5 linked regions of the Tribolium castaneum genome follow. The protein of the gene in region 3 purifies or fractionates together with the protein of the main gene of each other region. This does not show direct contact. Links are inferred from orthologs where the notes say so. Each region holds a gene or a part of one and is shown on either strand. Other genes may lie near its edges.

The links.
Region 1: the proteins of brm (region 3) and Snr1 purify together in Drosophila melanogaster (affinity purification with western blotting; 7 studies listed by BioGRID, with this or other methods). This does not show direct contact. The link is inferred for Tribolium castaneum from reciprocal best matches to the Drosophila melanogaster genes brm and Snr1.
Region 2: the proteins of brm (region 3) and polybromo purify together in Drosophila melanogaster (affinity purification with western blotting; 3 studies listed by BioGRID, with this or other methods). This does not show direct contact. The link is inferred for Tribolium castaneum from reciprocal best matches to the Drosophila melanogaster genes brm and polybromo.
Region 4: the proteins of brm (region 3) and Bap111 purify together in Drosophila melanogaster (affinity purification with western blotting; 6 studies listed by BioGRID, with this or other methods). This does not show direct contact. The link is inferred for Tribolium castaneum from reciprocal best matches to the Drosophila melanogaster genes brm and Bap111.
Region 5: the proteins of brm (region 3) and Bap60 purify together in Drosophila melanogaster (affinity purification with western blotting; 8 studies listed by BioGRID, with this or other methods). This does not show direct contact. The link is inferred for Tribolium castaneum from reciprocal best matches to the Drosophila melanogaster genes brm and Bap60.

What each region holds. Positions count from the first base shown.
Region 1 is NC_087401.1:13,704,560-13,710,878, forward strand, and holds Snr1 (SWI/SNF-related matrix-associated actin-dependent regulator of chromatin subfamily B member 1), read right to left. Parts: upstream 3,782-6,319; 5' UTR 3,556-3,781; coding exon 3,284-3,555; intron 3,237-3,283; coding exon 2,929-3,236; intron 868-2,928; coding exon 332-867; 3' UTR 254-331; downstream 1-253. Other genes in the region: PIG-L (N-acetylglucosaminyl-phosphatidylinositol de-N-acetylase), read left to right, coding at 5,230-5,548, 5,592-5,976.
Region 2 is NC_087397.1:6,256,717-6,263,062, forward strand, and holds the start of polybromo (protein polybromo-1), read left to right. Parts: upstream 1-2,906; 5' UTR 2,907-3,048; intron 3,049-3,355; exon of another isoform or gene 3,356-3,377; 5' UTR 3,378-3,381; coding exon 3,382-3,507; intron 3,508-3,556; coding exon 3,557-3,867; intron 3,868-3,916; coding exon 3,917-4,355; intron 4,356-4,401; coding exon 4,402-4,578; intron 4,579-4,624; coding exon 4,625-4,915; intron 4,916-4,964; coding exon 4,965-5,060; intron 5,061-5,228; coding exon 5,229-5,399; intron 5,400-5,445; coding exon 5,446-5,753; intron 5,754-5,792; coding exon 5,793-5,931; intron 5,932-6,038; coding exon 6,039-6,346. Other genes in the region: Kap-alpha1 (importin subunit alpha-7), read right to left, coding at 1-91, 197-592; Fdx1 (adrenodoxin-like protein 1, mitochondrial), read left to right, coding at 1,038-1,122, 1,175-1,226, 1,274-1,619; thioredoxin domain-containing protein, read right to left, coding at 1,690-1,849, 1,897-2,022, 2,070-2,231, 2,279-2,417, 2,470-2,655, 2,703-2,841.
Region 3 is NC_087400.1:7,721,619-7,728,068, forward strand, and holds the start of brm (ATP-dependent helicase brm), read right to left. Parts: upstream 3,928-6,450; 5' UTR 3,818-3,927; exon of another isoform or gene 3,772-3,817; 5' UTR 3,685-3,771; intron 3,208-3,684; 5' UTR 3,204-3,207; coding exon 2,664-3,203; intron 1,350-2,663; exon of another isoform or gene 1,292-1,349; coding exon of another isoform or gene 1,143-1,291; intron 1,098-1,142; coding exon of another isoform or gene 946-1,097; intron 898-945; coding exon of another isoform or gene 792-897; intron 1-791. Other genes in the region: uncharacterized protein LOC100141828, read left to right, coding at 792-897, 946-1,097, 1,143-1,291; uncharacterized protein LOC103314458, read left to right, coding at 3,960-4,238, 4,288-4,707, 4,754-4,888; kynurenine formamidase, read right to left, coding at 5,611-6,064, 6,114-6,333, 6,377-6,450. UniProt on the Drosophila melanogaster protein: Transcriptional regulator. Acts as a coactivator, assisting one or more dedicated transcriptional activators of ANTC and BXC homeotic gene clusters. Can counteract the repressive effect of Polycomb protein.
Region 4 is NC_087402.1:571,050-577,472, reverse strand, and holds the start of Bap111 (SWI/SNF-related matrix-associated actin-dependent regulator of chromatin subfamily E member 1), read right to left. Parts: upstream 4,116-6,423; 5' UTR 4,002-4,115; coding exon 3,941-4,001; intron 3,593-3,940; coding exon 3,548-3,592; intron 3,500-3,547; exon of another isoform or gene 3,239-3,499; intron 3,161-3,238; coding exon 3,120-3,160; intron 1,861-3,119; exon of another isoform or gene 1,755-1,860; intron 1,694-1,754; exon of another isoform or gene 1,415-1,693; intron 1,387-1,414; coding exon 1,297-1,386; intron 1,234-1,296; exon of another isoform or gene 1,180-1,233; coding exon of another isoform or gene 1,069-1,179; intron 907-1,068; coding exon 700-906; intron 651-699; coding exon 566-650; intron 516-565; coding exon 420-515; intron 334-419; coding exon 1-333.
Region 5 is NC_087395.1:25,851,024-25,857,147, reverse strand, and holds Bap60 (brahma-associated protein of 60 kDa), read left to right. Parts: upstream 1-2,607; 5' UTR 2,608-2,824; coding exon 2,825-2,938; intron 2,939-2,985; coding exon 2,986-3,152; intron 3,153-3,240; coding exon 3,241-4,306; intron 4,307-4,355; coding exon 4,356-4,511; 3' UTR 4,512-4,592; downstream 4,593-6,124. Other genes in the region: fibroblast growth factor receptor substrate 3, read right to left, coding at 828-1,287, 1,536-2,161; Khc (kinesin heavy chain), read right to left, coding at 5,512-5,513, 5,565-5,782, 5,848-6,107. UniProt on the Drosophila melanogaster protein: Involved in the recruitment and site-specific anchoring of the Brahma complex at specific promoter sites.

The sequences.
Region 1 (6,319 bases), on a different chromosome or scaffold from region 3:
CATTTCGTAATTTAGTGAACGCCGCAAACCAAATTTAAGTGACAAATTCAAATTCCCCAGATGCATAAAATAATTATTTTCAAAAATAAAAAAATTATTTGAAACGTTCTTACACTGCACCGGAAAAAATAAATTGGTGATGTAGCAGTGGACGTATTTCCGGAGGGAAATGGAGGAAAAAACGTGATACAAAGGATCCGGAATAAAGGATTATTTAGCGATATTTTTACACAAAATACACATTGAAACCGTCTCCATTTCCATCCATTTATTAATCACTCAAGATAAAATTCATATATTTTTTTTGGTAAATACTTAAAACCAACCTTGTTCACCACCCTGGAGTCGTATTCGCCAGCCGCCGAATCCTCCTCGTATTCCTGTCCTGATCCCTGATCTTCTTCTCCATTTCGGCGTCGGTGAGCGTTTCCAGAAAGGGGGCCCACTGGTCGCTCTCGCTGGGCGTCCTGAAGGGCACCTCCACCGTGGGCAAGGGGGCCTCGCTGTAGGCGTAGGTCCTCTGGTGCCAGGACAGTTGTCCTCTGATCGAATACGCAATCGCTGTGACAAATTCCCCACCCAGACCCAATTCCGAGCAAAGAGTCAATGCGAATTCTTCCGGATTGTTTTGTTTCTCGGACATGTCCCATTCGACTTGGTCGACTAACGAGGTGTTACCCACGTGTATGTTCAGTTTGATGATGACACGTTGGTCCGAACCTTCCTCGATTATTCCTGAAGGTTCGGCCGGGAATGCGTCTAATTGTTGGCGGATTGCTTGCGCTATGGCGGGGACGAAGGTCAGGGGGTTGAGGTCTAGGTCGTCGCAGAGGACTTCGGCGAATTGTTCGGGGGTGATGAGACTCTCTAAATTGTGATATGATTTTTGTTAATGCTAATAATTTGCATAAACTGAATCGAGTTGCGAGATATACGTTGTCAATAACTATATAAGTGACTAAAGTTACGTTTGCTGATTTTTTTGATATTGAAAAAAAAACCAAAAACTAGTCGCTCAAAAGCACCAAACATTATTTTTTATACAATTTTTTTTTATTTTTTTTATTTTAAAAAATCGTCTCTCAAAAATACCCAACGGTTGTTTTGTATTTTCGTCTTGTTAAATTTTTTTTATAAAAGTTTAACAGTTGGTAATTGAAACCCTAAATATAATTTCTAATATCCCGATTTCAACAAATATAAAAATAATAAAAATAAAAAAACTACGAAACTAACAACAATGCACAAAATATTGTGTAATTAAAAAAAATACTCTGTTGATGATGAAGGATGACAGTCAAATACATGTTCGAACTAAAAAACAAAAAGACAGAAGAAAAAACGAAACTTCTGAAAAAAAAAAAAAGTTTTTTTTTTCTTGAGTTGGTATTTACTTGGTCTAAACTTTAAATTAGGTCGGCTATAGATAAAAACAAAGGTTTGGGACTTGGGCCCACTCTACAATTATCAAATAACAAAAATGGGAGAATAAAACACTTTTATTATTATTAAATTTCTCAAAAATAAGCCGAAAAGTCACTAACCTGCGTCAAAAATGGTGATAATTTTGCATTTTTTGGGAGTTTTATCACCATTTTAAACTTAAAACTCAATTATTTTACATTTTTGAGCGTGTTTAGTACATTTTTCAACAGAAATACAGTTGGTTAGAATAATTAATAAATAATAATATATTAAATAGACTGAAAAAGCACCTCAATTTTTATTTAAATTGGCTTTTTGACAAAATTCTTCAAAACAATGGAGATTTTCGCTCAAAAACTTACTTACTTACTTAATGAAAAAGGCAAGAAAAATATGAAAGTAAATTTTTCGGCGCATTTTAATGCAATTTCGTATAAAAACAAAGCTAGATTATTTTAAGAAATTAAGCTGTTAAAAAAAACATTACATTTGATTAATTCTGTCACGAAACTTTGCAGTTCCTGGCTCCAAAACAAATAAACCTACCAGAAATTCTTAAAACTAGGACGTCAATTTTATCTCAATTTGCTTATTTTTGACAAAATTTTACAAAAAAGTCAGTTTCTCGCTAAAAAAAATAAATCTAACGACAAAAACTAAAATAATGTCGAACCAACCGTAACTTTCGATATATTTAGATATTTTTCGGGGTATTTAATAAAAAAAAAGTTTTCAAAAAAGAGAAAACATTGTCAAAATGACATAAGTTTTGACATATTTAGATGATTTTTCGGTGCATTTTCACGAAATGTGTCCAAATCACTACTGAAGAAAACGTCAATTTCGACCTAATTTAGTCATTTTTTGACAAAACTTTCAAGAACAAGTAAGTCTCATACTCAAAAACAAGATAAGTTTAATAAAAAAAAGGCAAAATAATCTGGAAATAACGCTATTACTCAACATATTTAGATGATTTTTTAGCGTTTTTATGAAGTTTTGCTTCAACAAAAAAGCAAAGTCACTTTAAAGAAAACATACACTTTAATCTAATTGGAACTGTTTTTAAAGAGTGTCAAATTCAGGTCATTTTCGACATATTTAGATGATCTTTTGACGTGTTTTAATTAAATTAAACTCAAAAAAAGTTATAAATCATATTAAAAGTGTTTAAAAATGCGTTTTATCAAAAAATTTATCATTTACTACAAGTTTGTAGTTAATAATCAGGACCCAGTATCAACAATATGGTGTCAATTTAGATAACAGATGTAACCTTAGTTACTAGACTACAGTCATTGCCAACATATTTTTCTCGTATCACGCAATCTTGATTAGTTTAAATGACTGGTGGCAGGTTTAAAAATTATTCAAGAATTAAATTTCAGATCAAAATGCGCTAATAAGTATTCGAAAATAAGTTGATAAGAATAAATAATGTAAAAGTTACAACTTTATTTCAAATGCAGAGCGTACTGTGATTAGAAAAACCCAAAAAATTACCGTTTTTATTCCACGTGAAAGTGTCTCTCAGCTTCTGCCCCTCAATTTCCATATCCAGCCTTATCGGGACCAACAACTCCCCTTGTGCCGCATTTTGCATATTCAGCTCTGGATCAGTATCATCAAAACATAACGGAAACGTCCGAACTTTCTTCGCCGCCACTCTGTTCCGATTAATCGGGGTGGCTTGGGGCACAGCGTCCAAATGACTGGAGTTTGGGAGTGAGGGCACCCATTGCATCGACTTCTTCGATTTACTCTCCCTCGGCATCGGCGGGTCCGAAGTGTGCACCGAAACAGCCTTATACCTAAATAATCAACAAATAACAACAAAACCCCCAAAAAACAAACCAACTTTTCGTCATTTCCCTCAATGATATCCTCGACTTCCGAGGCCCGAAGCAGTGAGACACTGCTGGCCAGAACGTGCTGGCTCAAGCCCAGCTCGATGAGGCGTTTGCGTTCCTCGTTTGTGATTGACCTGCGGTACATTCCGGGGTATTTCTTGTAGAGGGAACCCCGGAACAGGCGCAGGTAGTTCCCCACCTCGGAGCCCACACAGTAATACTCCCCATTTTCCTCCAATTGGAAAGTTATCGGTTTTTCACCGAATGTTCGGAGGGCCATTTTGCCGCGTCCTTTAACACTGTGAGGTTAGGTGACACCAACAAATGTCAACAGGGCACTCAAATGGAAAATACGGGCATAAATTACACAAAGCAAGGACACGATTCACATTATTTCGTTTGGTTTTGCACGAGATGGTACTTGGGGTTAATTAATTCAAACAATTCGTAAAAAAACACTTTTGGTGGCTAGTCTAATTGACAAAACTGAAATCACCAGAAATGCATTAACTAGGCGTCCTCTGGTGACGACATGTCGTACTTGCCGAAAACAGTAACAAGTTTTGGTAATTGCTCATTTAATGGATTATTTAGCAATTCTGCGTGTGTACTGTTAATTTTTTACATTAGAGAGAGTCAATTTAAAATTATATGCCGGTAAATACTAGTGTTGCCTTTGGTTTTGCGTTTTTTCGTGATTATAAAGTGTTTTATGTTGGACTTTGATAAAAAAGTGAAAAAGATTTTTGATTACAAAGAGTTATTTAATCTATTGCGTAATCAAAAACTGTTAAGTATTGGGTCATTTACGGCGATTTACACACTACTGTTCCTTTCGGCATTGTATTGAGATCTCCGGATAATTTTATTGACTTAAAAGATATAAATATTGAAAGAAAGTGTTATTTGTGATAATTGAAGTAATTTGTTTAAGGAGATACTGTAATGAATCACTAATAACCAATAATAATCCATTTAAATAATCACACAAAAATCAGCGTTTGTGATTTTTTTTGCTTTATTTCTTTCTGTAAGCCTTCGAATTTTATCAGATTTTTTCTACAATTTCTTATAAATAATAAATATTAATTAATGAGAAATATTTATATTAATAAAATATTATTTTATTTAAAAAAAACTAAAAACATTAACTAATGGAAATTTTTATGATTTATAGAACAAGCGATGCTTGCAGAATGTTTTGTACAAAAAAAAATATGTAAAAAAATAAGTGTTCTACAAACGACTTGTTATTTACAGAAATACAATTTCTTTATTTGTTAATGCTTTTGAAGATACGTTCGATGAATAAGTAGATGTGGTTTATAATTATAAACCTAGTGTTTTCAAAGATATGAAATTACGATTCTCTTGTTTTTCTAAAGATGTCTTGTTCTCATTTTTTGATATCCAACGGTTTTATAACGTGAGATTTCTGAATTTTATTTATTTTATTTAGTTATAGTTCATTAAACATTCATAAAAGATATAGGACTGCAATAGCTAAATGGAAAAAATTGAGGAACAGCGAAATAATTTTGGAAACATGTTAATTTTAACCAGCTGAGTCAATTGTGCCGCCCGACGTCACACCTAGAGAGACTTTGAGGTCTCATAACTTTTTTATTTTTACGAACATAAAAAAATGAAAAGTACCATTAGTTTTACAATTATGAAGACTATTAGTGGTATTAATTTAAAAATGTAAAATTCTAGAAACGTGAATGTTTCTAGAAATGTCTTTTCTGTCGTTGATTTTCTGTTGGTGACCAGAATTCCCGCTTGGGAATGCTAGTGACAGATAAAAATCCCTAGAAATGGGGACGTCAACCTAACCTCAAAATTATGCCCTGTGCCAATTTCTCCGCCAGAAAATCTAAAAATACCGCAAATGCTCGGTAAATCTATTTCGAGCGTGACTTCATGACTGAGATGAGCCAAGCAGCGCCTTGGCATGAGTCTAGGTTTCGAATCGTTGGTGTCCCTCGTCTCAGCCTCTTGGAAGAATCTAACCGTTCGAGTCCAGGAATACACGAAAGAAACCGTGGAGCATTTAATCGTAGCCGTGTCCGTGTACATCATAGTATGCGTGTTTTTGTACCTTTCCATCTCTCGCTGGAAGATAATCCACTTCAAAAAAGACGTAAAAAACCCCCATCGTGTTTTACTAGTAATCGCACATCCTGACGACGAATGCATGTTTTTTGGCCCCACTGTTTTGAACTTCACCAAACAGAACCAATGTAAAGTGTTCCTGATGTGTCTTTCGACAGGTTTGAGACCCGCTCATTTTTCGGGCGTAATCACTCGTTTCAGGGCAAAATTACGGACTGGGGAAAACCCGCAAACAGGAATTGTACAAATCGTGTCGCATGCTGGGCATTGACGATAGCTGTATCACGGTGTGCAACCACACGAACTTGCCCGATCAAATGGGGGCCAAATGGCCGATTGAATTGGTCGCTAAATTGATTTTAAACCACGTGGAGACCTACAGCATTGACACGCTTGTCACCTTTGATAAACACGGAGTTAGCTATCATCTCAATCACTGCAGTATTTACTACGCGATCGCTCATCTCAGCATTGAGAAAAAATTGCCCAAGGAATGTTCTGTTTATGTTCTAGAGACTGTTAATTTGTTGAGGAAGTATTGGCTCCTGTTGGATATTCCCGTCTCGTTTCTTTTGTCCAGGATAAGGTGAGGGCGTTTTTAATGATGCATCAAGTTGGCATGCACCGGGTGACTACTAAATTAATTTGGCAACCCTGATTATCCAACTTAAATGTAAAAAAAATATGCATGCGTGTGAATTTTTCAGAACTATTCTACAATTCCTAATAACTTAATTATTAAGTATTAAGTATCAAATTAAAAATAATTTTTTGTTGAGTCTTCCTTTTAATAATATTTTACACGCTTCCCATAGCAACGTGTTTTAAATAAAAATGTTCCAACAAAAAAATAAGAAAACGCTTCTCGCTTACGCTCGTTGCATAAAGACAATAACCGAGTGTTGCCAATAGTATAATTCATGGGCAAC
Region 2 (6,346 bases), on a different chromosome or scaffold from region 3:
TAAAAATAGGAACAGCACCAGCTTCAATGACCATCCTGGTTTGCTGAGAGGTACCAGAGGCAACGTTGGTCAAAGCCCATGCTGCTTCAAACTGTACCAAACATTAATAAATTAATATATGTAATGACCGCGGCCTATGACTTTAAAATTAAGTTGGCAAAGCCACATATTTAATAAAAGAAATGGCACGCAATACCTGAAGGCTACAATTGTTTGAATTCTGCAAAAACTCTACAAATCGTGGGATGATCCCGGTCTGGACCACCTCATCAATGGGTGGGTTGGGTTCGTAGCTCAGCAGTTGTCTGAATTTTTGCGTGGCGCTGATTTGCTGCTCCACGTCGGGGCTGTACAACGCCTGGACCATTTCGGGGGTGATCATGGGCGAGACAGGCGAGAGGATCTCGCTGTCCACTTGCAGATGGTCATTGTCCTCGGCCAATTGGTTGACGTTAACATTCCGCCGCTTGTTCAGCTGCTGTTCCCGTTTCTGTTTCCTTAACTGGAGGCCTTCTTCCTCTCGCCGCCGTCGCAACTCGACGCTGTCCAGCGCCGCGTTTTTGTAGCGGTGTTTGTGAGCGGAGCCCGACATCTGAGCGATGAGTCAACAGTTGAAAATTATTGATTTTTTACGCAAAAAATATCGACCTTGTGGGGTTAAAGCGGGCGGATTCGTGACAGGGAGAGACCAGAAAGGGGAAATCTGTGAGGGTTTAACCTAGCCAAGGCAAGGCTTTTGACAGGTAAACCAGGAAATTTGCTAAATTACCTTCCGTAATGTCCGACGGTTTTTCTCACACTCAGATGGAAACACACATTTGATACTTTTGGACGAATCAGGAATTCAGCGATAATTGGAAATGGAATCGTGAAAATGAAAATTCTGGCATTCGGAACTATTTGCAACACTGCGGAAGGAATGACAGGCAATAAAATCCCTATTAACCAATCAAGTCCTGTGATTGGCCGAAGGCGAATTATCGACCAATCACGAGACGACTTCGTCCTCGTAGTAACTTTTGAAAGTTACTGTCAAAATGACAGCTTTTGTGCGAATTTTAGGTTATACAAAGCCCAGTTTTTCAATAAAAACTTTATTTCGTAAGATTTATACGACAGCGAGTGAGTACCATCAGAAATTACAATTAATAAGTAACCAATTGTCTTTAATTAGAGTTAAATCACGGTGAATACGAATGGCAGGATCCCAAATCCCCCGATGAAGTGTAACAGTTCGCGCGGTTATATTACGTAAAATACACATTTTTTTCAGTGTTAACATAACTTTTGTTACAAAAGACGGTGAAAAGGTCCCTGTAAAGGGCAAAGTAGGTGATAATGTCCTATACTTGGCTCACAGATACAAAATTCCCATGGAAGGGGCCTGTGAGGCCTCCCTAGCATGTACCACTTGTCACGTTTATGTGAAAAGTGATCACGAACTTACGCCAGCTGAGGAAAAAGAAGAGGATTTGTTAGACATGGCGCCGTTTCTTAAAGAAAACTCTAGGTTAGGTTGTCAGATTATTTTAACCAAAGAATTAGAAGGGCTTGAGTTAGAATTGCCACAAGCAACGAGGAACTTTTACGTTGATGGCCACACACCAGCGCCTCATTAACCTTCTATTGTGTAAATAACGAGTTATGAAGTCAGCCACCAATTTATTTTAATAAAAAAGTGTTAAAAATTTATTTGTCTTTCTTGCTTGTCGGTTTTTGCGGCTTTTCAGTCTTACGACATTTCATTAAAATTATCAACAAGAAACCAACAACAGTCGCCGCTAAACCAATTTTCCACGCCATTGCGCTTTCCTTCAAATTAAGTACGATATTTTCGACAATATTATCACTGAAAAATTCCATTATAACACAAGAAGATAAATTGCAATTGCTTACAATGGCGTTTTAGGCGATGGTACTTTAATGGGAGTCACGTTTTTGTACCATTCTTGGGCAAAAGAAGTGAAAGACGCAACGTCGTACTTTTGGATTTGATATTTATACATTTTGCCTTGTCTGAAGCTAAAAAAATGTGTGAGAATTGAAACAAAATTGAGAAGTCAATTTACAGAATAAAAGTTGGGGCTTGGGAGACTCCAAATCGTGTGGCGGTAGCGGCCCCATCTGTCGCCTTATTGACTCGTGCGACGTTCATTCGTGTTTTTAATTGTGCCCCGACTGTCTCCCACCGGGCTTGAAGGCGGTGGCAATCGACACAGTCTGGGGTATAACTTTGAAAAAATTAAACAAAAATCTACAACCATTTAAAAAGACTTACAACATCACAAACCAGTCGCCTGTGGTAGCCCCACTGGCGGCCTGGGTTAAGTGTTCAAAAGTCTCATCGTTTAATTCCTTCACCACCGGTTCTTTATTGTTAACAAATGTGTGAAGAATTAGCTCTTCTGAAGGAATATCTAAAGCAAAATAAATGCGAATAAAATTGATTACGGTTAAATGTAGCAATACCATTATAAAGTAGAGGAATTCCATGTCTGAAAAACACCAAAACCGGCTCCTTCGTGGGGCTATACAGTCTTGTTAACTGGCTGTTAACGACTTTAACAGTCTCTCCTTCAAATGATTTAGAGAACTCTTCCTCCAAATTTGTTAAAATGTTTTCGAAGTTATCACAAAGTTCGCAATTTTTCGCAGCTGGAATTTTCGTTCAATCTTGATAGGAACGCAAAGTGGGGACTTACAAAACAGCGCAACCACATAAGTCTCACTTCTGATTAAGTTCATGAGATCATCATCCTGGATTGATTTTATTGCACCACAGTTACAAAAACTATTGAAAATAACGGACAGACACGACAAAATATACAAAAACCTACTCATTTTAGCTCAATAACCTCACATAACCCAAAACATTCAACAACACGAAAATCCCCCAGAATTGTCAACCATCAGCCATTTTGTTGACGAGTGATGCCGGTTTTTATTATCGATTTATGATTTGTGCACAAATGTGAAGTGCAAGGGTTTATTTGCAAAAACGGTGTGTTTTTGTGGACTTTTCCTTGTGTGATGATCAACTGAATCCAGGTTTGTCCAATTGCAACCATAATTAGCAGTTGTTTCATGATATTTGCCCAATTAGTGTAAGGCCATGACTGTATTAATTTTTACGGCCATTGATTGTGTTTTTCAATAATAAAAAATCAATTAACGAGATTTGACAATCGTACATTGTCAATAAGCTATTTCTGGCGCGTGTTTATGGTTACCGACGTCCGTGGTATTCCGTTTAGCGTTTGTTTACGACGTCATTTGACACAACAATTGGCGCTCATTTGAATTAAGACTTCTGTAATTTGATTTCTGTACGATTCACTACTTTAGTTAAATGTAGCCTTGGTTGAAAACCTTTTCAGCATAATGAGTAAAAGGCGTCGAACGAGTTCTATAGCCAGTAGGGGGCAAGAAGACGATTCTTTGGATAGTCTGGAGGCTTCGACTAGTACAGGACCTACGATGCGAAAGCGCAGCAAAAAACTAGATCCTGTAACAGGAAATTGCGAGTTTGTTCCACATTGTGACGCCTTGTTTTTAGATGGAACTTTGTCAACAATTGTACGATTCAATCCGCAATCACAAAAAAGACGACGGGACTCTTCTCTGCGATTCGTTTATTCGAGTACCGAAACGTAGACAAGAGCCCGGCTATTATGAGGTTGTTTCAAACCCGATCGATTTGTTGAAAGTGCAACAAAAACTGAAAACTGAGGAATATGAGGATATCGAGGATTTGCAGAACGATATCGAGTTAATTGTCAATAACACGAAAGCTTTCTATAAAAAGAATTCGCAGGAGTATCGCGACGCCATAGATTTGTGGGCCTTGTTTCTCTCTAACAAACACAAGTGAGTCCCGTTTTTAAATTAATTAACACTTAGCCATGTCTCAATTCAGACTACTTAATACCAAAGACGATGAACCCGAACCTAAGGGAAAAATCGTGTTAAAAGTCGGAAGACCGAGCAAAAAAGCCGGCACTCCGGTCGAAACCAAAGAACCTGAGCACTCTGAGGACACTTCAGAGAGTTCGAATTTCGACGACGATGTCAATTTATACGAGGAGCTGTTCACTTCAGTCATGACAGCGACCGATAATGAAAATCGGCCACTTCACACTTCTTTCCAGCTAATTCCCTCGAAGAAAAAATATCCCGAGTATTACGAAGTGATCGAACAACCCATCGATCTAAAAATGATTGCCACCAAAATCCAAACTAACGACTATTGCAGCTTGGCCGAGCTCGAGAAAGACTTGATGTTAATGTGCAAAAACGCCTGTTTGTTTAACGAACCCGGTTCGCAGATTTACAAAAACGCGAAAGCGCTGAAAAAGGTGAGAGCCGGGTTGTTTGTACCATTGACCCTTCAGTATTTTGTAGATAATTCAAAGTAAAAAAGCCGAGCTGGATCACATTAAATTAAGTTTGGGTAAAAGCAGCGAACGCATTAGGAATAAACGGTTAAGGGGCAGTACATCGCTATCTGCGGTCACTGCAGCCCTAAGGGACGACGAGTCGGACGCTGAGGTGGAACCAGAGGAACAGATGGACGATGAAGTAGCAAATCAAAGTGCAAAGTCGTTTTTTCAATGAATTGTTTCAGTCAATTGCTGATCCTCTTGATGTCGAAGATCCCCAGTGGCAATTGTTCGAGGCTGTGCGTTCAGTGACGAGTAATAGCGGAGTTTCCTTGAGCGAACCCTTCTGGAAATTGCCCTCGAAACGTTTCTATCCAGACTATTACCGCGAGATCAAAAACCCAGTCTCTTTGACTCAAATCAAACGAAAACTGACCAAGCACGCTTATGGCACCATAAGCGAAGTGGCCGGTGACATGACCATAATGTTTGAGAATGCGAAAAAGTATAACCTGCCGTCGTCAAGGTTGTATAAAGTGAGTTTGGTAACGTTTTCAACGTGAAATTTGAGCGAGTTTGTTCCAGGACGCTGTCAAGTTGCAAAAGGTCATGCAAATGAAAGTGCAAGAACTACTTGACATTGATCAGGTAACATACAGAGTCACTAACAAAAACCGGAAGGTATGCTACTGCACTGCTTATGTCTTCATTGCATTTATTAACTGTCGGGAGTTATTCATTTTGTGGGCGCTTACGTTGCTAACATCAGTCGGCTTGTTTCACTATTTTCCTAATCAGGCGTTTGAGTTGATGGTAATTGTTTAAATTTTTGTCTTTTTCAATCTTCAGGATACAGACAGTGAGGCAGATTCCGAAGTCGTTGTGCGCAAAAAGCCAGGACCTAAGCCAAAAAATACGCAATCGAGTGGCAGCACGCCACAAAGAGGGCGTCCACCGCGAGACCCAATCCCGCTAAAAAAACGTTTGCACGCTTTAGCGAAATATATGCTCGACTATACTGTCAGTTACACGTTTTGCAATTTTTTTTCTATTAGCCATTTTTCAGTGTGAGGATGGCCGAAAGCCCATGCTCGGCTTTATGGAAAAACCCTCGAAAAAATTGTATTCGGAATATTACGAAGTCATTTCGGAACCGATCGATTTCCTCGAAATTGAGCAAAAAATTCGCGCCGATCAGTACAGCTCCGAGAGTGACTTAGTCAAAGATTTTAAGCTCATGTTTTCGAACTGCCGACAGTTTAACGAGGAAAATTCGCCAATTTACGAGGATTCCCTCGTTTTGGAAAAACATCTGTTGGATAAAGTTGGGCATAGTGTCACTCCGGAAAAGAAGGAAAAAACCGTAGTCAGAGTGTACGTTTCCGGCTGAAAAATAAAAAAATAACAGTTTAGTTGCAGTGTTAAACCGCGCAAAATTCTCTCGCCGGTTGAAAAAAACCTAAGAACTTTGTACGACGCGATCAGGGATTATCGGGAAGCTAAAGCCAACCGACAGTTATCGCTGATTTTCATGAAGTTGCCGTCGAAAATAGTAATTTGCATTTTTTAGTTCAGTCGTAAAGTGTCGGTGATTGGGAACAAATCACAGACATTGGTTACGACTGGACTTGTTTGGCTCGCTTTAAGCCCCGTTTTTAGGACTATCCCGACTATTACGAGGTGATCAAGAACCCGATAGACATGGAAAAAATTTCACAAAAGCTGAAAAGCAACTCGTACGAGACCCTCGACGACTTGGTCTCCGATTTCATCCTAATGTTCGACAACGCGTGCAAATACAACGAGCCCGATTCCCAGATTTACAAAGACGCCTTGGTCCTTCAAACTGTATGTCTCCAAACCAAGCTTCAACTGAAAGAGGACGACGATACGGTTCCCGACGTCTCGGCGGCTGTCCAGGACATACTTTTGAACCTCTTCACCAACGTTTACAACCACCAGGACGC
Region 3 (6,450 bases):
AGTAATATGTTATCGCTGTTGATTTGTTATACCTCAGTTTTTTATTTCCTTATTTCTCCATTGTAAATTTCTGTCATTTTTATTTAATAATTTCTGGTCAAAATTTTATAAAAATTTATATCTAGATGACATTTCTAGGTATGCATTTTACGCGAAAAATTCATTTTCACAATAAAATCAAAACGTGAAGTACTATAAATGCCATTTTGACATTAGTATATCAAAATGTATTGTTTTTCATAGCACGCTACATTAGTATCCAGGAGATTTGTGTGCATTTTTCATAAAAACCGAATTATCTTCTTAACTATCAACTTTTGAAAAAAACTAAAAAGGCAAAAAAGATGTAAAATGAGACGCTGAATAATAATTAGTAATAAAATACAGGAGATGTTATTTAAAAAAATAAAGTTATGGTCCTTCAAAATTTACCTCAGACATTTGTTTACCTACGGACGAAGTCCCAACTTAGTATCCCAAAAACCAAAGGCACTACGATTTTTTAATAATGTGCCTGCATACGCACAAAATTGTAAAAAAAATGAAAAAATGAATGGTCAAAGCAAATTGCAAAAACTAAACTAATTTATAATGCCTAAAAAGTGCACATTTAAATATGTATAAATATACAGGGTGTGCCATTTAAGAAAATTATGTTAAATCCTGTATGTTTGGTAGGTGTAATTTGACATTGTAAAGTTTTAATATTGAAGCTCGAAGCGAAGCTGAGAGTTCTAATAAAACTTGTTACATCAGTTGATACATTCTGCCAAAGTTCAATTTTGCTTCAGATATCCAAAAATCGGTCCTCAACTACGAGCTATCCTTGGCCCGGTCCGAAAAACACCGCGAGTTATACATGTACAGACTGACCCACTTGATTGCGGTGATCCAGGGGTACCAACCCTCCCAATAAATTACTTTTATTAATTAACTTATTGGTAGAATACGTTCGATGGGTTCGGCCGCTTTGGGGCTGTGTTACGTGGCGCGGGGCTCAATGGACGCCTACCAGTGCGATGGGTTGTACCCATGGGACGCCGCTGCCGGGGTTTTGATAGTAACGGAGGCCGGTGGGGCTGTCGGCGACTCCACTTGTAATAAATTTTTTTGTTGTGTTTTTTCCCTAATTTCTGTTTCAGGGGGTAAAGAGTTCGATCTCATGAAACCGAATTTCATAGCAGCGGCCTCAAAGCCCCTTTTGGATCAGTTCCTTCAAGTCGAAAAACGTGCCGATGACGAAAGATTGGCTGCACTGCTGGTTAAGAAGGCCAATGTTGGATGCAAATAGTTTTTTTTATTAGTTGTAATTATAATTATGCAATAAACTTAAGGAAATTGGTTCGGCATCAATTGTTTTATTGTAAATAGATAAATAAAGGTGGCCTTGGATTACACTGTCAAGGAAATCGCTGTGAAATTTTTTTGAAGTATTCATGCAATCTGAAAAGCAAATTGTTGGTAATTTATGACAATTTGACGATAATTTATTAATTAGAAAAACGGTCAAAATAAAAACAAATATACCAGTAGTTAACGTGTCACTATTATAATTAGATAACTATCATTAAAATAGCCATTTGCTTGACTTGTTGGCCATGAGAAATAATAAAAGGTGCACATTTTGATTGATTTATATTGTTATTATTTTCTAAGAAACATTTCTCGAAAATATCAAATGCAATTATTAATAATCCATTCAAGATATTGTAGCTTGTTTTTTTAATTCGCCCCATTGTTGTCTATCTTATAACTTTAAACATAATTTTTTATTACATTAGAAACGAAACCTCTCTCTGAGTTAACTAGAATTCTAAAAAAATCCTAGGTGATTTGATTCATGTAAAAAAGGAAAAAATAGCGCATAAAATTCATATCTTTGTTACTGACCAACATAACGGTTTAATTTTTATAAATTCTACATTTTGATACCATAACAACATTAATAACGCCAGTGTTTTTTAGAAAATGTAGCCATTTTAAATATTTTTAATGACAATCCACACTTTTGAATAGTACATTACTTTATTATCTTTCTGATAATAATAATAATAATAAAAGAGTTAAAACAAATCGAATAAAGTACAGTCAAACAAAATGAAAATGACGCCTCACTAAACCAGCCCCTGTTATCAATGCAATTTTAGTTTATTTCAAAAATAGAATTTTCAAAGTTTACTCTGACAGCACTAAAATTTGATTAGTGATTGTTCATATCAGCGACCAATTTTGCTATTTTATTTTACTAGTACATAATGAGGCTCATTATGGCCGCTACAAGGTGACATAAAGCTTCTAATTATGAACAGTCGAAGATAAAACATTTTTATAATTATTAATTACGCATAAAAGACTTTACCTTTTATTATAACCTACATTAAAAAGAGCGATATTTTCTTATACTGGTGCTTTTTTGTTAAAATGTAGTATTAAAAAATCATAAATATGGCATAATAAGAATATGTACTTTTTACAGATTGTTAGTACTTGCAAATAAAGCTATTATTACTTACTATCACGGCTATATTTAAAGATAAAAAGCGACTTTTTGGCTCAAGACCAAATATTTTTGATATATAGAATCCTAACGTTGAAAAAAATGGAATATTCAAATTAAAATAAAGAAGGCCTCCCGCATTTTAACTGTCATTTCATCTCATTACCTGTCCTTGCTGCGGATGCCCCCCCATGGGCATGGAATGTCCCGGATAGGGCTGCCCTTGCTGCATATTATGCGCGGGGCCCATATGCGGCGGTGCCCCCGGCTGCATGGGATGCCCTTGCGGGGGCGGCGGCCCGCCATGCGGATGCCCCTGCGGGGGCGGCCCCCCTGGCTGCATCTGCATGGGAGGCCCTTGGGGATGTCCCTGCTGGGGCGGCGGCCCGCCCATATGGTGTCCTTGCGGGGGCGGATGTCCCTGGTGATTCGGGGGCCCTTGCGGCGGCATGCCCGGATGCGGGGGCATATTCGGGTGCGGCTGCGGGGGCATGTGATGCCCCGGGTTCGGCTGCATCTGCACCATGTTGGGGGCATTCGGGGGCATGGAATGTGGGGGCGGCCCGTTCACGTGGCCCATCGGAGGCGGCCCTTGGTACGGGCTGTGGGGCGACGGGGGCGGCGCAGGGCTCTGAATCGGCGGGCCCATGGGGCTGGGCGCCTGCGGCGGCGGCATGGGGCTGCTCTGGGGCGAAGGACTCGCCATTTTTCTAAAAAAACAAAAAAAAATAATAAAAACGTGTTTTCTTCATTTGTTTCGAATTGGCCAATCAGGTGGCGTGATTTGTTGTTATTGTCCTTTTTTGTGCTACCATTATTATTTAACTCAAAATGTCAAAAAGTACGCCTACTTGATTTTTTAACTTTTTGTCAGTTTTTTCGAAAATCAAAAAACAAAAAACCGTCCCAAATTCAAAGTTATGGAATAGCAGACGTTGATTGGCCCACTTCACGTCATTTAAACCGCCTTTTACCCGCACTTGAAGGTTACGCGTGAGCATCGAACCGGTAGTGTTTCCCTTAATTAACATCAGAAAACCCAGGTAAGTGAAAAATACGCTAAAAAACTACGTAAAATTTGGAAAAAACGCTAATTCATACAGTTAGTAACAGATCGGAGAAATTACAATGCAATGACCTAAGACTATCCCTCTTATCCGGTCGGTTTTCCCACATAAATGACCTACCTACGTTGCACAAACACTAGTCAGAGTTTTTCCAAACAGAGCACTACGTTTTCCTCATTTTCCCTACTTTGGAAAAGCACTGAAAAGCTAACAATTTTGAGTTAAAAGGCTGAAATCACAGACGCCATTTTACCATCGACTCAACGCTCTAGATCTAGAAGCTTTCTTTCTTTTCGTTTATTTCTATCGCACTTTTCCCATTGGCTAAAAAGAGATGGCGTTGTTGTTACAGGTGGCGCTTTGCACAACCGGCGCGGGGAATTTGAATTGTGGAGATGGAGGAAAATTTATCATTCATAATTGAGTGCTTGAAAGAGCGCAATTATCCCCAAATACACGAAATGGAGGAGTGCAAAATTTGTGACATTTTCTCCACCCCCAACAGATCGTTTCTCGTGTCGTGGATTCTGCAACAAATCAATGTTCGTTTTGCTGAGATTTGTGCGAACGCAGATAAAGAAAAATTAGCAGAAATAATCTACTGTCACGGATTTTGTGATGATGCTAAGGAAAGCCTTCAATTCATGAACGGCGAGTGTGACCTCAGCAAACAAGTATTGATTTAAAGTACACCCTTATCAATCCAATATACTCGATTTTCAGTTTTTCATCATGAGCAAAATGTTTAAAGCTTTAGAAACTGTTCCCGAAACCATAACTTCCGATGTCAACAACTACGATGATTTGATGAACTTTGATTCGAATTTGTTCCCAACTTACGGATCAAAACAAACCCTAACTCTCAGTCAACGTGCCGCCAAAATTCAAGAATATCGCAAGGAAATCGCTGATCTAAAGGCAATTCTCAACTCACGAAACCAAAATCAAAGCCTTTCAATTGATTCGAATTTGAAGCAGCAACTGGAAGATTCGACTCAACAACTCGAAGACAATTTTCTCGAATTTAAGAGCAATGTTCAACGTTTGTTGGTAAACCACAAGGAACCGAATGAAATTAATTTTCCAGAAGATGCCTCGGAAGTAATTGAATCGTGCTGTAAAAATTCCGAGCGGCTCCTTAAGGTAATTTATTGTGGGTTTTAGGATAATGTTTTATTGGTTGTTTCAGTTTATGAAGAGTTTGAACACTATTGTCAGTTTTAAGAGAGAAAATTTGGAAAATGTTGAAAAAAAGAGAAATGGAAATTATGAAATGTTAAAAGAGCTCGCAGAATTGTGTAGGGAAATCAAAAGCTTGAAATAAAATATTTTGTACTTTGTATTTTTCTAATAAGTTTTGTGATTATTACGAAACTGTCTTGTCCTTAAAAAATAATAACATTTACAAGTATTTATTAGTTTAGATAAGTTGCGGTTATGCAACCAACTATGACTGTTTTTTTATGAATGGAAATAAAAATCATAAACTATTTTGAAACAAATTGTGTTTTTTTTTATCGAGCGAAAAATTGAAACAATTTTAATACAGCGTGTTAGGGAATGGTTTAGCAAAAATTTAAAGGCAGATAGAAAATGGCAAAACAAATCGATTTAGCAAAATTTATGTCAATCAAAAATGTATAGTTTTTCCAAAAAATCGTTCTGAAATTAAAGTCACAAATTTTGAGAACCGCTAAGCTAGAATTATAAAAATTAGCGTCAATTTTAATATTATTGACTAAACAGCCTAAGTAAATTAACTTATTGGTCGACTACGTTATTTGTTTATTTCAATTTGTGTTGTGTTACTAAATTTTACAAAAAAAATACAAATTTTTTTGCCAGGACCGGGATTCGAACCTTCCACACATGTGGGAACTGAACATGGTAGCCACAATTTTGAAAAATTATATAAGGGTGATATAAGGGTTTCTAACTCGTCTAATCATGGCAAATTCACATACGAAATATTGCTAAGCCATTTCCTAACAGCCTGTATAATAAATTTAAAAAAATGGTTATGCAACCCAATATACGTTTTTACGCCTATTCATCGGGATTGTGTATTTGCACCAAAATCAACTTGGTGACCTCAAAATTCTCATCCACCAGCCTTTCAACCACATCAAAATGGTCCACATCTTCGACATTCGTCCATTTTGTGACCACGCCGCCATTTCGCAGTTTCTCATCAAACATTTTGGCCTGTTTTTGAAACTCAGGACTATCATTTCTGGCCGAAATCACATGAAACTTAGTTGTTACTCCTTTCACTACATTTTGCAACAAGGGGCTCAACTTCTCAGCTTCACTTTGGCTCAGTTTCAAGGGTTCATTAACACAAGTTTTGGGTAGTTCCCTCAAATCGTAAATTCCAGCAATGAGAAAAACTGATTTGATCATGTTCCGCTCCTCGTTTGAGAGACTTATTGGGGCCAAGTTTGTATACAACGCGGCTACAAGATGGGCCCCAGCTGAATATCCCGCCAAGTAAAAGCCCCTAAAACACCCAAAATGTATAAACTCAAGGAAACTTGTTGCAATCGTACTTGGAGCCATTTTCGTGCGCATATTTGAGACACTGTTTAGTAGCGAGTGTTATTTCAGTGATAATTTGGTCCAGAGTGACTTTGGGGCACAACTCGTAGCCCACAAACATTGATTTGATGCCATTTTTGTGCAAAATGGGGGCCAGGAAGTGGTAAGTGGAACGGTTCAAGTACTCTTTCTGCCAATAGCCCCCATGGACGAAACCCACAATTGGGGCTTCTAAAAACTTGTTATTTGGGGCCTGGCTTAGTTAAATTCATACCATTGGGTAAATCGGTTCCGAAAATATCGATTTTTTCTTTTTCCAAATTTCCATATTTGACGTTGAGTTGGGAC
Region 4 (6,423 bases), on a different chromosome or scaffold from region 3:
CGTATTGTCGTTCGACCATTTTCTGAAAGGTTTCTTCATCAACAGCCGGCTTGCAATGTTTCTTCAATTCCTCTTGAAACTGTTCACTACTTTCGATAAATTTGCGTTTTTTTGCTTCAAATCGTTCTTCGATTTGTTGCAATTCGGCTTCGAGTTTTTTCTGATGCATTGTCAATGATTGGACTTGACGTTTGAGAACTTGCATACGACCTGTTGTAACAACTGAACGGACATCCGGTACAACAGTATCGGAAAAAATTTCGTTAATGAGACGATGATTGCGCAGAAAGCGGGCGTAGGAAACGTGTTTCACCGAATAGCCATCGTCCTGATCTGCACATAACACAAACAAAAAAAAATTTACAGCTCGAAATGAAGCTGAGAGCTTTAATAAAAAAAATTGACAAAAAATAAATTACCATCTTCGTCCTCCGCTGCTTGAATTTCAATCCTTCGATCGACGGCTTGTTGTTTCGATGACGAACTGCTGCGATCATGCGAATCACTATCATTGCCTGAAATTATCATTACAAGAAAATTTTCATTCCTTTCAAACTTAACTTACCACTTTTACCTCGATTTTTAGCAGCGATAAATGCCTGATAAGCCGGTGAATTGTGATAAGTTTTCAGCGTTTTTTCATATTCCAACTAGAAGCAGAAAAAGTTGTTATAACTATTTCAGTAGTTAGAAACCAACCTTTTCAGCTTCGTATTCCTCAACAAATTCGTTTTTTTCTTCCTCGGGGAGATCCCTCCACATTTGCCCGATAATTCGTCCAATTTCCCATAATTTCAAATCGGGATTTTGTGCTTTAACCGTATCCCAAACCTTTCGACTGTATCTCATGTAGGGCATGAGAGGCTTTTCGGGCGCTTTGGGGGGCTTAGGAGTACGCGAATCATTCTACAAAGAAAAAATAATGTTGTTTTCTCCATGAAACTTTTATTCACTTTTATTCATAAGAAATGCCAAAAGAAATAATTAAATATTTTTGTATTAATCTTGTAGTTCTCAAAATGGAAGCCTCTAACTGATTTGTTTCGAGGTTAAAAAGCTAAAACTTACCTGGACGTAGTAGTAATTATAACTACTTTTGTACTGATTGTAATTGCTATTATTGTAATAATAATAAAAAGGATTGTAATCGTAATAGAAATTGTTAGCGTAGTGCTGCATCACGCTTAAATTGTAGGGAAAAGAACAATTTTTAGATACGTAAATATTATTTGTTCTAGATAAAGTGAGAATTATCAGTAGATAAGTTGGGTTTGTGAGAAAGATAGAAATACTTACCGACGAACTCTTTCCCACTTTTTGTGGTAAAAACCCAGGATGGCCATTCGGCGTTGTTACAAACGGACTTGTTTCTTTCTGTAAAAATAACTGCAGGATTTATTGACCTGTATTTTACGTAACTTGAAGTAGAGTTCCTATATTGGGAGAGTTGGGACACTGAATGTCGATTTTCGAAATTTTGTTTCATATACGTCGGTTGGAATGTATAAAAAAACAAATTGGGATAGAAATCAGTGGTGTTACACTTGAAATTTGGCGAAAAGTCAAATAAATTTGTCAAAAAATGTCTCCATTTTTCGTCGACTAACTGCGTTTAGAAATGGTTTAGACTGGCAGTCGTCGTCAATTCACTGTTTTTTTTATATAAACTCCAAATTTTAAAAGAGATTTCTTTGTAAGTACAAGAATTTTACGTCTAAATTCTTCATCATAAACATTTTTTCCTTAATTTTAAGAAATGGTAATCATCGATGAAAGAGAGAGAAACTGAACCTTTCCTGCCAAGTTTTACGTTTATTATTAACAAGCATTTGGAAAAGTGGATTGTCGAAATAATGTTATGTACAAAATTTATGAGATTTTGGGAATTTGTCTATGCATTTACAAAAGACGTAGGTACTTGAACCCAAAATTGGTTCTAATTTTTAGGAAAGTTGAACCTGTTACTGCTTGGCCGCCATCTACGTGAACTTTAGCTACTGTTTCAAATTATAAAGTTATTGGGAATTCACGATGTTGTTACGTTTTTCATACGAGAACATCTTCAATATCATTTTTTAGAAAATTTAAAAAGACGTCAGGAAATATGAAGGGTTCTTGATGACCAATTTTTGGGACGAGATGTTTAACTAAAAATTGTGATTGAAAGAAAAGCATTTTTAGCATTGAAGTATGTTTTAAGTTATGTATTTAATATTAAAATAAATATTGAAAAATTTCAGAAATGTGAACATTAATATTGATAGGTATTCAATTATTTTCTTTTTTTAAATAGTAATCCCAAAATTTCTACGTTTTCTACGTCCCTGATTTAATTTGACGTAAAATTATGTCATTTTATGCATTTGACAAAAATTATAACCTTGAAATTATTTTCAACATAAACCTCTGACATAAGTTACTAACAAAAATTTTAATAAAAAAGGATAGAAATATATACCTTATCCACATAATACAAAATTGGCTCGGTTTGACGTTCAGTGTCCCAACTCTCCCAATATAGGAACTCTAACTTGAAGAACAAATAGCCATAGAAACCCGATTTTGGGAAACTTTACTAACCAGGAAAACTCGAAAGAAATTTCTTTTGTTAAAAAAGTAAATATTTATTATTTAAGCAAGACTTTTACAGTCAGGAAATCAGATCGAAATTGATATTTTATTTATTTCACTCAATTTTACAGGTTTTTCTGTCAAAAATAAAGCAAAAAAATATAAATTGATTGAACACAGTAGTTTTATATAAATTCTCGATTATCTGTTTCAGATTTTATTAAAAATGATCGAAAAAATCACGAAATCGGATCAGAATAACATTACGATTTTGTCTTTTTTTTAATCATATACAATTTTTTCTCAAATTTTTGTAAAAAATGTGCTCAAAATCAAAAAACAGTTTGAAAAATTACTACATTAAGACAATATTTACATAATTTTTTTTAATGTTTTTATGTGTTTCACTAAGTCACTGAGATCTCAGAATTATTGCTTTTAATTTTCCTGCAGTAGGAATTAATAAAAAATGTACAAAATAATTTCTTTATCTTCCCAAGAATCCTTCTCTACAGATAAGAAACAACCCAAAAAAAATTAAAACTTACATTTGATCCAGATCCGGACCCTCCAGACGCTCTCAAACGCTCTAGAATAAAAATTATTTTTCATTTCGATTTTACCTCAAACGAAACGTGCAACAATGACTCAAAACACCACTACTTACCTTAACTATTAAAAATGAGAGCAAATGAATGAAAAACCTTGTTAAAGTGCAACTACTATAAGTAATAAGCCTAGAGCAAAATTTAGCTAATTTAAATTCTACTGACATTCTCCGCCCTGACTACGAAATCGAGTTGGCAACATTTTTTGTTGCCACCAATTGGTCAAAAAAAAAGTAGAAAACTGTAATTACAGTTTTCTTCTTTTCCATTGAATTGATTGATGATGATGGAAAGAAGCAAAGCTTAATTATTTTAGAAGAATGTTTGAAACTTCTGTAAAATGTTAATAAAACGAAGATTGCAGTTACCTTTCAATATGTTGAAAGTCATGGGCACGCCTGCCGACAGCAAATCTGAACAACAAACACAAACAAAGCAATCATCAGCACTATTCTACAAAAAAAGAGTCTACTATGGTTTATAAATGCGGGTGTTAGTGGAAAAAATAATTTATAAACCATAGCATTTAGCTTAGAATAACCTAGTTCATGCTATTATGACTTGTCATCAATAATTCAAAAATAATAAATAGCGTCTTACAAAAATACTCATGCGAACGGCAAGCTCCTTTACTGGATTTTACTCGAACATTTTCAAAAACTAACTGGAAAATCTACAGCAATTCGCGTCAAATTATAGTAATAACGTCAGAATAATAGATATTATTTGGAAAAATGCATTTTCTTGCAACTTTGTCTTACGGTTTGTTTGAGGGCTAGGCATTTGCATCGCTACTTGCTTGTAATTGGCTGGAAGAGCCATTTTTTCACACACACACTAATTAAATTAGATCTAAAATTGAGATTCTTTTAAAATACACAACACTTTTTACACAAATGACGCCATGTTGACAACTGACAACGAATTGGAGAAAGATGCAAGTCGTTCTCTCTCTATTTTCCAGCAAAGCGCCACCTACGATACAAAAAGCGGAAAATTCAAACAATATTTTGTTTCCATTACAAAAAACCCATCAAAAAGCATTTACAAGAGTACAAAAAACACACCAAAGATTTGCCAGCTCAAAATCAAGCGATTTACTAAGCTGGGCCAAAGTTCAAAAATTATTTCCTATTTTTTTATTGCGATCAAAATCACACGTTTTAGTGCAATTTTTTTGTTTTTGATAATATAATTGGCGCCATATTTCAAAAAAAAAAAAATTCAAAATAATGTTAGAACTATTTTTTCTTTAATTCATAATTTCATCACCACCCGTGAGACATACAATATTTTATTTGATTTTGTTGACGCCAACGTGACGCTACGCAACTCCCTAAAAAATTCGAAAATTCCAATTCCATTAATGTTATTTGCTGAAAGAAATTACATGTCACACAAATGTACAATTTTGTAAATGTAATGCCACAATTGAGTTTGTCATTTTTTTGCCACTCTAATCAAATTTTCGAATTTTGTGATACACTGCCATCATTTCTGCGCATAATCAATACCGGTTGCCTGGATCCATCCAGTGAACGCCATAGCCCTTTGGAAAGCCGTCTTCAAGTAAAAAATTTCTCAAATAAATCAATTCGTGTTTTAATAGACAATGTAACTGTTTTATTTTTCGGTGCGATTTCAGTCTGAATGCTTGATGTGATATGAGGCCTAAAAAGTGAGTAATACTACCCTTTTCAAATCCCCAAGAAACTTAAACAACGACTGCAATTTTTCAATAAAGCAACGCGACAATTGAGATATTTTTAGAAACATAATCGGGCGATTTTTTAAAAGTATTTTTCATTCATTGTTGTACCGCGTGGTACATTTTTCGAACATAAATCGGGTACATTATCGTAGGTGGATGACGTATTCTAGTTCCAAATCAATAGCGTCGCGACGCTCACTGTGTGACTCAGTTTCGACTGAATTGTGATCCGGTTCATTTGGGTGCGAACGGACGGACTTTTCCTAATGTAATTTAGGTAAAAAAACACTCAATCACATATTTTTCTCGCGAAATACTACAATTTTCCAAAATTATGTTCCTTTGTAATTTGTAATAAAAAATCAAAAGACAAGTTAATGCAGAAATTTTAGGATCACTTGATAGCTCTTCAAGAAAGAATCAATCATAAATAAATAAAGTCCGAATTAATTATTAAAAAAATAAAAACAAGGAACTCCTACAATTCGGGAAAAATTTTAATAACAGTGGTAAAATTATTTTAAATCAATTTCAGTGCGTTTTTAATCTAATGTAAAAGGTGATGTTTTAAAATCGTCAGGCTCTATAGAATTTTTAGTTACGGCCCGATTTTAAAAATTAAAAAAGGTATTTAAACCGCTTTTAATGTAGTATAAGCTGGTGCTTTTAAAAATTTTCTAAATATCATAGTATATTTTGGGCTGTATTCCACTAGTTTCTTTTAAATTGTAATCTATATTTTTCTTTTTATAATTTGGTAGATATTATTTTTTATACTAAAAAATACTATTTAAAAAATTCACAAAATTAAAAAAAATAATAGTTAATCAAATCTAGTTGTATGATGTCAAGTAACAGCCGAGTGACAATTGTCAAATAAACGTCGTTAATAGCCAGAGCTTTAAAACTTTGTATACGATCTAAATTGACCATTTCTTCAAAATGGTTAAGCTTCCGAAACTACAAAAAATTTACGACAACTTTGAAATTTTAAATAATAACCATACATTTTTACTGCATTTTTGAATTCACCTTTTTAAACTGAGTAAAATTTATTTAAGTTGTTGGCACCTATCTGTCATAGTTTTAGACATATGTCAATTTTCTTGTTAAAATTTTCATTTACAGGAGTTTATTTAAAATATCACAGTTCTTAAACTCTTTATATTAAGTGAATAATTTTTTTGCATTCGATAACCAAAGGTTCGAAAACCTTTCTAGAATTTTCAAAATTGTCAACTGTCAAAATTCAAAGCTAGTATGATTTTTTCAAAATGGTTATCAAAAAACGGCTAAAACTCAATTTTTCAAATAGAACGACCCGATTTTCTTAACGGAAATCAAAAGATCATCGACTTTTATTAACAAGTCCTATACCTGTTTCTTACAGTTTTTGAAAAAAATCACAAAAAACAATTTTTTTTGTAATTTTCGTCGTGAGTTAAGTAGGCCATGCAAAATGGTCAACAATTGTCAAACTTCAACATTATATGTAATTTTTAGCTGATTTATTATCGATTAAACAGTAAAACA
Region 5 (6,124 bases), on a different chromosome or scaffold from region 3:
CAGGGATCAGGGTAGTTCCAGGAGAAATGTTCTTACAGTCACTTTCAATCACAATTATTGTTAATGTTTTTGGAAAATTAACAACGAAAACACTCATTTTTGTAAAGAAAACGGCAAAAAAATAAAGATTACACGGTCATTGAACACGAAGCGTCCAATACGTAAAATTTGACAATAGTGCCAACCCCATACTTTAGAATTTAGGAATCCCCAGTTTTCTACCAATAATTATCGGAAATTGGGGCTACAGATATTCGGGTAAGAAGGTTTTTAAAGCGAAATCGCAATTACACACTCACTTACCTTGAGTTTGTTGATTTTAATCCCAAAATTTTGCTAAACTACAGGAATCTGTAATATTTTTGGCGCTAAATTTCTATGACAGTCAGTTGGACCAAATTAGATTAATCCAAGTGAGAGCAAAGGTCAATTGGCTTAAACGAGATGAGTAATGCGGTGAATAAAACTCGTAATTTGTAAAATATCGTTTATTAAAAATTAAATATAATATATTCAACTGTTCTATAATTAATTACTTTTTGCGCAATGTATAATATAGTAAAATAATACGTCATTTTTCATTTCCATTACTTAAAACCATTAACAACTATCAAATATCTTTGGCATTTGTAAATTTGTATCCTTACAAAAAAAAGGTGGCAAGTTTAACATTTTGGTAGATAATCACAAGTACTTAACGAGATGACCCATTCCAAAAAATCGATGTTTTCCAACTACTCTACTAAAAAAACAAAATTTTCGTACTGGTCACCTCATCAAACAAAAAAAAACTCAATGAGAATCACAAAATTTTACAATTCGATGTGTTAGTCACTTAGCGAGTTGCTATGTCTAGTCGTAACATCACTAATTGTAGAATTATGCCTAGTCTTTCTGCTGCCTTCTTCGACCTCCATTGGCGGATTTATCGATTGCGAGAGAGCGTTAGTTTTTTGAAAATCAATCGTAGCGTAACTTTTCGCTTTGTGGGGGCTTTCTGGCGTCACTTGAGAGGTAGAAACGTCGCTTTTCACCGGATCCAAGTCCAGCTCAGCGTAATTCACTTCGTGGACAGTCAAATAGAGCGCGGTGGGCGTTTGGGGCACACTTGGCGCCTCCGCCCCCGACAAAAGCGGCCTTAAATGTTCTAAATCTTTGGTGTCTATATTGGCGTAGCAATGTCTTGCGTTGTCCTCGGAAGGATCCGAGTCTTTGGTTCCAACGGTGTCCACATTCATGTACAGGTGGCACGGACTCTCCACAAGGGGGCGCAGCTCCTCCCCACATCTAAATACCCAGTGACTTTATTTTTATTTAAATCAAAACTGCCAAATTAAAATTTTTAATTTATCACCAACTTATTATTATTTAAAGGCAGAAAATTATAAATTATTCACCGAAGAAAAAAAATATAAAAGTGGCACAGTTGGCAAAGCTGTTTATTTAGCAAAATTTCAATCTAACTGACAAAAATGTGTAAAAAAAATCGGTAAAAGCGCCCTAAATGAAATAAATCTGGGACTTTAGCAACTTACCCCTCGGGGGCTGCGGCGCCTAAGTTGGCATAATTGGGAGCCTCCAACTCAGTAATAACACTGGAATTGGTGTACTGGTGGTCCCCCAAACTGCCCCTCTTATTATTATTGTGTTCGTGCGTCGACTCGGCCGTCGTGGGGCTCACCGGGCCGTTGCTGGTGATGGACCCAGGGCGGCTCAGACTCGGCCTGGGGGCCCCCACCGGATTGAGATAGCCCTCGGGCTGGGACGGGGCGCGTCGCTGCACAGGGGGCCCCGTGGAAACGGCCGGAAAGTCCGAAATGGCGTTAATAAGGGGGTTCTCGTCGGAATTACGTACAATGTGATGTTGGACGATATTGAAAAGTTGCTCAGCCTTGCGGCACCTAAACGCATAAATGCCTTGGCCAGTGGGGCACCTGCGACCGCACTCGAAACTGAAAATTTCCGAGTCGAAGCCGTACTTGCGCAGCGACCTGAGGGGCCACACTGTGGGGTTTTTGCCTCTTTGGTGTAGGACTAGTTCAGTTTCCCGGACTTCGAGCTTGCCGGGGCTCACCAAGTCGCCTTGGTCGTTGACGTTGGATACGTCGAAAATGTTCGGGTGTTGATCGTTTATGTCGGGCTTGCTGCTAACACAACCCATTTTCTACCTAGGAGTAAGGGGTAAATAAACATCAAGGTTATTTGGTTGGGGGCACTTACTAGGTTTGGCTCAAAGCTTGATTGCATGGACACGTGGCTTTTCAGGCATTCTGACCAAAAATTACTGTTTTTACATTTTGTTGTGAGTTTTTCGGGGTTTTTTAACCAATTTTTATGTGAAGTTCTCACATAATAAACAGCGACGCCATCATGGTTCTTCTGTCACCAGGCCGGCAACCAAACACAAAAAATGCGAAAATAAATTCATTTGACCACCGGCAACAACCCCACGGGCCCCAAAACACCCACAACAACACGCGTAAACAACCCAACAACCTTTCTGAAAATTTTTAAACAAAATACGGAAAAACAACGGTGTTGGTACCCCTACTAGTAGCTCAACTGGTCACAATCTCACAATGTTCACAAAACCTAATAGTGAATTCACACCTTTTTCGTATTTTTTTCCCAAACTTTGATTCAATAAACCCAAAGGTCGCAAAACCGTTCTTAATCACACATTTACTATTGATAATTCCTTATCAAATTAACAATTTCGTCCACGCACACCTTCGTCACCAAACCCACCAAACACACAAGACCGAAACTGGGCAACTGGGGACGCATCTGTGTGTTTTTTGTGCTTAAGAAGTGATAAAAGGCCATGGCCCAGCGTTTCGCGGGCCCCGTGCCGCCCCAAGGTCCCGGGGGGCCCCCACCCCAGCGTTACCCGCCCCAAAATCCGGGAATGCGCCAGTACCCAGCCCAGAATTTTCCGGTGAGTTTCCCCATTTTCCACCCAATTATTTCTAATTCGCACTATAGCAACGGACAGGGTACAACACCCCGCCCCCGAACATGGGGGCCCAGCCGGGCGCTATGATGCCGCGGCCCCCTCAAGCCCCCTATTCGCCCATGCGAGGGGGGCCCATGCCGCCCCAGCCGGGCGTTAAACGGCCCCCGGACAACAGGGCCGTCATGCAGCAAAAGAGGTAAGCAATTGGGAGTATACAGAATTGTTATTTTTATTTATTTCAAATATTTGTATTTGTTCGAAAAAATCGTTTACGCTGTTGGCAGTGATTACCCACATGGAACCAAGAAAAAGAAGAAGCTTTCCGACAAGATTTTGCCCCAAAAAGTCAGAGATTTGGTGCCCGAAAGCCAGGCCTACATGGATTTACTCGCGTTTGAGCGTAAATTAGACTCGACCATAATGAGAAAACGGTTGGATATTCAAGAGGCGTTAAAACGTCCAATGAAACAAAAACGCAAATTGAGGATTTTCATCTCTAACACGTTTTATCCAGCCAAAGAGGCGTGCGCCGAGGGCCCAGACGGCCCTGGACAAGAGGGCTCCGTGGCCTCTTGGGAGTTGCGAGTCGAGGGCCGCCTTTTAGACGACTCGAAAAGTGACCCCAATAAAGTCAAACGCAAATTTTCGTCATTTTTCAAATCGTTGGTGATTGAGCTCGATAAGGAGTTGTACGGTCCTGATAACCACTTGGTGGAATGGCACCGTACCTTAACAACTCAAGAAACAGACGGTTTCCAGGTCAAGAGACCTGGGGATAAGAATGTGCGGTGCACTATTCTTTTGTTACTCGACTACCAACCGCTACAATTCAAACTCGACCCGCGATTGGCCCGTTTATTGGGCGTGCACACGCAGACACGCCCCGTTATCATCTCCGCCCTATGGCAGTATATAAAAACGCACCGATTGCAAGACGCCCACGAACGCGAATACATCGTGTGTGATAAATATCTCGAGCAGATCTTCGGGTGTCCTCGGATGAAATTTGCGGAAATCCCCCAACGTTTAAACCCGTTGCTCCACCCACCGGACCCTATCGTCATCAATCACGTGATCTCGGTGGAGGGCGGGGCCGAAAGCAAGCAAACCGCCTGCTACGATATTGACGTGGAGGTGGACGATACGCTCAAAACTCAGATGAATAATTTCCTGTTGAGCACAGCTAGTCAGCAGGAGATCCAAGGTTTGGATGCGAAAATTCACGAAACTGTCGATACGATTAATCAATTGAAAACAAATCGTGAGTTTTTCTTGAGTTTTGCCAAAGATCCGCAACAGTTTATTTACAAGTGGATCGTGTCACAAACCAGGGATTTGAAGGTATGGAAAGTGAGTGTATTAGGGTGGAAAAGTGGCATTTTCCGCACGTTTGTTCTAGTGTATGACCGATGTGGTGGGCAATCCTGAAGAGGAGCGGAGGTCCGACTTTTTCTACCAACCGTGGGCGCAAGAAGCCGTGTGTCGCTATTTCTACACCAAGGTGCAGCAAAAAAGGGCCGAACTGGAGCAAGCACTCGGCATTCGCAACAATTGAGCGAAACCAGCACGAGATATGTATTAGTTTATTTGAATATAATTTCCAGCATTTAATAAATAAACTGCATTTTTAACTCAAGTCACTTTCCTTAAAATGTCTCCAAATAACCAAAAACAAACTCACTAAGGCTGGAGAATTTTTCCTCAAAAATTCAGTGATTTTTTTCCTATAAGGGTGAAAAATTTTCGGCAACAATGAGGGAAACAAACAGGAAATTTGTATTAGTTTATTAGAATATAATTTCCATCATTTAAATAAATAAATTGCATTATTGACTCAAGCATCCACTATCAGTTTCGTTACACAACTACGACAGCTGTACCAAAGACTGTTACTAAACAATTATCTACAGTCAACAAAAACAAATAAATTAGAAATGCAATTGTGCACCAATCGGGTCTTTGACGGAAGAACAAAACTTTGCTACTTATCACAATGAAATTAGATTGCATCGGAGCGATTAGCACTTGCGCCCGTCAAGCCAACCGTCCGACCTGCACCATTGAGAAAAACAACAAAATAAAATCGTTTTAAAAAAATATATACTTAGACCACTACAAGCAATCAATCAATCGTAAACAAATTTATACAAAATACATCAATCAGGCTATACAAATAATCCAGTTGTGTAAAATGTGCTACTTAATTACCTAAACGTGCTAGTTAGACCATTTGATCAAGAGGAGAGACAACTAAAATCCTAAAATAATGCCACTTTTATATTACAAAACACGATTTAAGCCTGGAAAATTTGAATCGTTATTACACCACCATGATTATAATAGCGCGCGACATGCGACAGGAAAACCCACAAATTATTTCTTAGCAATTGCACTAAAAACCGACCTAAGAAACAATTTGTCGTCTCAATAAGTGCACCTTAATTCTAGGATAACTAAGCAAGTAAGCACAAAAATGTAAGTCGTGTGTTGTTCCACGGCTTACGTAGTACGAGTAGTCAGCAATATTTTTGGTATCCCAGTGATCAGAGCACCGTTTCTGGAAGGAAAAATTCAGGAAATTAGAGAAAAAAATTAAATCAAGACTCACATGCGTCTTTCTCGTTTATGATAAGTGATTCGCGTTTTCGCGCAATTTCCATGTTTTTCTGGCCCATGTTAGACCCAGTACGGATCGCAGCGCCGCCACCAACAACAACATGATGTTGGCCAGACCTGATAGGCTTGGCAATTGTTGCAGCAGGGCCGCGACGAGCGAGGTTCTTTTGGCGGACGGCTTCCTTGATCCGGTCCACCTCGTATTGATATCTGAAAAAAAAAACAAAACATTTATTGGCGATTTTGCCGTAATTGAGAAAAATGTGAGCGCCAACCTTTTGCGATCCCTCATGGCGCCCTCCTTGGCCTCCTTGAGCGCCGTCTCCAGCGCCTTCACCCTCTCCATGGTCGCCCTTAGCCTCTTCTCCAGCTTGGGCAACTCGCACCTCAAATCGGCATTATCTCTCACAAGTTGCTTATGCACTTTGGTCAACTGGTCCAAATTATTCTCCAAAAACGAGATTTTCTGTTTCTGGGCCAACGAACCGCCGTCTTCTTCGTTATCTTCAGCCGAGAGATTTTTCTTCATCCGTGCCTACAACAGCATTGTTT